Linked DNA regions of Kluyveromyces lactis. Each later gene encodes a partner of the first gene's protein in a complex. Links are inferred from orthologs where the notes say so. Each region holds a gene or a part of one and is shown on either strand. Other genes may lie near its edges.

The links.
Region 2: MRPL35 (region 1) and MRPL50 share a complex: the UniProt entries of both Saccharomyces cerevisiae proteins name them as parts of the mitochondrial large ribosomal subunit. The link is inferred for Kluyveromyces lactis from reciprocal best matches to the Saccharomyces cerevisiae genes MRPL35 and MRPL50.

The regions. Positions count from the first base shown.
Region 1 is NC_006040.1:1,119,494-1,122,543, forward strand, and holds MRPL35 (mitochondrial 54S ribosomal protein mL38), read left to right. Parts: upstream 1-1,451; coding exon 1,452-2,543; downstream 2,544-3,050. Other genes in the region: KLLA0_D13068g (M1 family metallopeptidase), read right to left, coding at 1-369; KLLA0_D13079g (uncharacterized protein), read right to left, coding at 661-927. UniProt on the Saccharomyces cerevisiae protein: Component of the mitochondrial ribosome (mitoribosome), a dedicated translation machinery responsible for the synthesis of mitochondrial genome-encoded proteins, including at least some of the essential transmembrane subunits of the mitochondrial respiratory chain.
Region 2 is NC_006039.1:791,513-794,059, forward strand, and holds MRPL50 (mitochondrial 54S ribosomal protein bL9m MRPL50), read left to right. Parts: upstream 1-1,566; coding exon 1,567-1,971; downstream 1,972-2,547. Other genes in the region: RSC6 (Rsc6p), read right to left, coding at 1-1,017; KLLA0_C09086g (uncharacterized protein), read right to left, coding at 2,357-2,547. UniProt on the Saccharomyces cerevisiae protein: Component of the mitochondrial ribosome (mitoribosome), a dedicated translation machinery responsible for the synthesis of mitochondrial genome-encoded proteins, including at least some of the essential transmembrane subunits of the mitochondrial respiratory chain.

The DNA.
Region 1 (3,050 bases):
ATCAGTATAATCTGAACGGTAGAATCCAGACATATTAGTCTGAATCATACCCTTATAATCGATCTTCAACACGAATTCATCATCAGATATACTCTCCGGAAATTTCAAGGAAACAACATCGTTCTCTAAATCGAAACTATGGTCCTTCATTCCCAAAGACACAGACCCCTCTTTCAGTTCAACCACCGCAGAAACGATCTCAATGTCCCTCATATTCAATGAAATCATGTCATTGGCATTAACAGTGGACATAATAATACGCACGGATCCGATAAATGAATTGTGCTCAGCATCTAACTCACTCAATTCAATCTCATAATGGTTGGCCCTAAAGTCGGTTGGTAGAGTTTGAATCTTAACGTCAGCCATCTTTCAGTGAATCAGGTATAAACTATTCCAATACCTAATTGGTTCTCTGGATATATCACCCCAGTTGTCTTATATAGTGAAAAATCCAATATGAAATCAAAGAGTAGGTGTCATTCAAAGCTTTATCAAAGGTCTTAAGTGTTATCAATCTGTTTTCGTCAATGTGTCAAAATTTTTTTCTACCTTCCCTGCTGAAAAGCTCAGAAGTGAGCGTAGAAATTTTGATATAAGACGGAGTAGTATGAAAAGAGAAGCTCCTCCATTATCCAGCAGCACAACTGCTCATACGTTTCACCTCTTGTGTAGTTTTGGCAGTAGTTTCTTTGACCTATTAAACATTTTGCGCAGTATTGAAGAAGACCGTCTCTTTAGCTGATCTCCGACATCAGAGTCAATTGAGTCGCTTATATCAGAATCGGAGCTGAACATAGAGGGAAAAGCTCTCTCTGTTGGAGTTTGTGTATCAAACTGCGAGTAAACTTGAAGTTTAGATATTAGTATGGTAACTGCCTCGACATCGTGCCTTAACTCTGTAGAATTCGGTTCTGAACCGTTCATATTTGATTTAATAAGCTTTTGAATATTATACAGGATAATACAGGGAATGAGAAGTAAACCTACAATGCTGATTGGCAAAGGGTCTTTATACCAGGAAAAAGTTGAGGCATCTTGTCTTTACAGATCTGAAACAATGTCGCGATGAGCATTCTCATATAAGATTCGTCGTTTCAAACATAAATGATCATTATAATCCGCATATAGGAAAGGGAAGAAGAAAATATACAAAGAAAGATGGATATGATGGGTTCGCTGGATCAGAAGAGCGTCATTTGCAACATATGAAACCGAATGGCAGTCTCAAAGGCAAAGCTTACCAGTTATTGATCTCTGAACTTCCACTTGGAGCGAGAGGCACGATCTTCTGTTACCCGGACTGAAACACATTAAAATTTTTTGGTGAAAAATCGATTTCGAACGATTCAGATGAGTTTTAAGTATGAACGGACAATGAAGATACATGAATAATCAGTTGTAGGATCCCATTGGAGGGTGTTTCAGAGACTAACAACTCGAATTGGAGAATGTTGCGTAGAGGGTTGCACAGCAGTGCCAAATGTTTAGAGAAAACCGGGGTATGGTCGGACTTTTCTAAGAGATCCAAGTCGCTTGGTTTAGCATCAGAATCGATTAAGAAATACATCTTTCAAGGCGACAGCGATGACGTTAGAAGACGAGGTCCACCGTCTTTGAAGCGGAGGATGAACCGTTTGAAGTATACCTCTCCTGAACATATTGATGAGATGTTCCGCTTGAGTTATGAGTTTATGAGTAAGCGCGCTGAAGAGAAGTATTCGCAACTAGAAAATGAGACTGATGCCAAGGTACGTGCTAAGTTAGAAACAGAGGCTGAATTGCATAACCCAGAGGTCCAATACAATTTTCAGTATCATGACAAGTTAGAGAACGATACTAGAGTGATAGATTATGCTGTTCCAGTGTACAGGCGTTTGGGGCTGAAGCATTGGGAATCCTACGAAAAAATGTTGTTAATGCAAAGACTAGAGACTTTGAGTGTAATCCCCGATACGTTACCTACTTTACAACCAAGAGTACAGGTTAATTTACGTTTCCCATTCAGTACTGGTGTGAACAAATGGGTTGAACCTGGTGAAATTTTGTCCTCCAACACGACTTCGATGGTTCCAACAATTAAGATTCAAGAGTACGAGAACGGTATCGACTTCGAAAAGCAAAAATACACTGTGGTAATTGTGAATCCAGATGAACCGGATGTGTTGAATGATACATTCAAGACGACTTTGGCGTTCGGTTTGACTAATTTAAAGATAGACTATAACGACAACGTGGTAGATCCAAGAAAATACAATGAATCGCAGATTCTTGCAGATTACATTCCTCCAGTACCTGAGAAAAATGTTGGCAAGCAAAGGTTCTCTGTATGGGTATTCAGACAGAATGGTGATTTGGAATCCCCTGAACCAGTCGATAGAGAAAACTTCGATATTAGAGAATTTGTTCGTTCCCACAACTTGGACCCGGTTGGTGCTCATGTTTGGAGATCAGAATGGGATTCTAACGTGGCAAACATTAGAGAGAAATACGGATTACCAGAAGGGAGAGTGTTCCATAGAGTTCGTAGATCTGTTGTATGAAAAAAAAAATGAAAGTTTCCAGAAAGAGTTTATTTCCTCCTCGTCTCTCTCGCGATATATATGATTACACACTTTTCAACAACCTCAGGTGGTCTGAATAATATCTCATACCTCATGTAAATAATATGCAATGTAGAAAATCAATGCAACATACGCAAATCATAAAAAAAACTAAAAAGCTTGTTCGAATCTATTAAGAATATGATCATTAGTTAACATTTATTCCCGGTAACATAATAAATTATATAGTAATAATACGGTGTATGGTGCGTGCGTTCATGTGCGTCTGTTTTTTTGGACTGCCTCTGATTGAATATTTTCCTAGAGGCTATATATAGAATCTTCTTTTTTTTTGGCTGTTTCTTCTTCATATGTTATTGTATTGGCTGTAAATCTAATCGTAACAAAAAAAAGGATTCGTGAGGTCTTTCGTTCTTAGTCGAGGAAAGCAGATATAACTCTTGTTGTCATCATTTCTTGTTGACTACCAGAATTCAAACAGAGAAT
Region 2 (2,547 bases), on another chromosome or scaffold:
TTCCATGTCAAATACCAAATCTCCGAAAGTGGAAGACTGATCTACACGAATAGTATAGTCAAGTCTTATTGGAGGTATCGGTTTTACATGATCTTTCACTAGACTTGGCAAATCGGCGAGCTTCAAAGAAACAATGCCTGCGGCAAGCCTTTCTGGAGACACTAGCTTTGCTAATGAAGCATCCATTTTCACTAAGACTTTCTCACCGTTTGTGGAATCCTTTGGTCCCGCCTCGTCGTTATTCGTCAATAGACTGTTTAATAGAATATATTTGTAAAGAGAGTATATCGCCTCATGAAAGGTTCCTTTTGAGAATCCGACAATACATGATAGTTCTGGTGAATACTGTAAGAACTCCCCTGTATACCCTTTTGGTTGGATAGTGATGGTACAGTTAACGTTTTCAGTACCCTTACGTGAAACATCAACACCGTCAAACTCTACAGGAGTATTAGGATCCACATGCCATTCAAAAACGGTTTGCTCATTTTTTGGCTTTTTAGCACTAGGTTCCTGTGTCCCTTCTAATAAGGGGTCTCCCATTTCTTGATCAGTTTCATCATCTTGATCTTCCTCTACAGGTTTGAAATCTATCGCGACGCTTTCTATAAAGGAGGAAAATTTAGGCCTATTTGGATCGTCTGCCTTCCCATTATCTAACAGTCTACCTTCAATACGCAATGTCCATGATGCTTGATCAAGTTCCATGGTCTCATCGTTCGTCTGCCATGGCTGGTTCTCAGAAATATTAGAAATGAAAACACGAACAAACTGATTATTCGCAGGATCTGTGTATTTGGAATGAGTCCATTGAGTAATATTCTGATGCAAATCAATTTTTTTACGACTTAAATATATGTCAATTCTCTTCTCAGCCTCTTGTAACTTACTTAGCCCATCCAATTCTGGTATTAATTTCTTCAAATACGGTTGGATATACATGTCAGTTGGTTGTGCAACTGGCACAGTTTGTGCCTGTTGATGTTCAACCGTTGCTCCACTCTGTGCCGCAGACATTTGATTTTGATTTTTCTTTAATCTCAATCTAGCGGTAGCTTAGTTTATTCTACTAGGAGGTAAGCAGATGATATGTCTCATCTATACAAGTTGATGCATGTAAGTTAATGTACCAAAAGCTAGTGAATGCTTTGTTTAGGTTGATTGAATAATTCGAAAAACTGATGTTGAAACAACGAAAGCACCCATACACCCATACACCCATACAATACTTTATAGCGAATCGTATTAGGTTAGATTGTATCCATTACGCAGTTCATTTATAAATAAGTATTTCAAAGGTTACAAACACGGAGTAGTACAGTATGAACGGCTGTCACTCGCTAAACCAATCTTTTATCTTCTTTTTATGTACACATCTTTTAACTAGGCTGGCACTTAGATATGATTTTAAAGCTTCAAAAATTTTTGATAGTTTAAAATCACATTAGAACAAGATCAATCTAAAAGTTAACCATAAGCAGGGAATTAAAAATAGCGTCAATTGTGTTTGAAGTGCTATTCCAATAACTGCACACGCTCCAAGGGCTTTTAAAATATTACAGCAAAATGTTCAGACCGACATCATCGTGTCTTTCTGCCTTAACCAAACGTACAAAGAGAGTACAGGTACAGTTATTAAAAGATTTTCCTCAGTTCCAATTTCATACCGGCGAGGTGGTAAATGTCAAGCCCTCACTAATGAGAAACTTCTTGCACAACTATAATGGAGCCCGCTACATTCTAAAGGAAACTGATATTGACCAAGCCCTGTTGACCTCAGCTAAGAGATCACGTGCATCAGCAGCAGCTTTATTAAAAACAACCGAATCAACGGTGAAGAAGACTGAACAGAACGTAAAGAAGGCTAAGCAGGTATCCAAGGAAGAAAATAAGACACCAGAAACTCCTAAGTCAGCATTAAACGAAGAAATAACTATCGAGAATGTGAAGATTCCAGGATTAGACTTATGATAGTAAATGTTTTATCTTTTTTTTCCTCCTTACGCGGATCATTTGAGATACCAATGTCTTACAAAATAATAATGATCATGGATGTTGTTCGTGACGTCTCGTCCCCATTGCGGTTCAGAGGCACATTCATACACTTGTACATAAATTACATTAAAATAACTTGCGAAAACAATAAAGAAAGTTCGTTGCATCCAATCGCTACCAGTTGAAGTAATAACGTGGACAGTAGATCTGGATGATTCATACTAAATGGGGATTGACAAGAGAGTTATTACTACAGGAACGCTCATCACCTGGACGAGCATATTTCTCTTGATCAGCTTTAACTGTTGCTTTGGAAATAAAGAGACGAGAATGAGAAACAACCCCAATAGTGATGAACTTTCTAAATTCTCATTTTCTGTTTGTTTCTCAGACGTCTTTCTCTCTTTTCTCTTTTCTTCAACTCCATTTTATCAAGTTCTTGGTCGGTCAACTTGTCTCTCATATCCTTTCTCTTTTGTCTCTCAGCTTCTTGTTTTTTTTCAAGAGCCATTTCTCTTTCAACCTGTTGCATGACTTTAACAATCTTGCCTA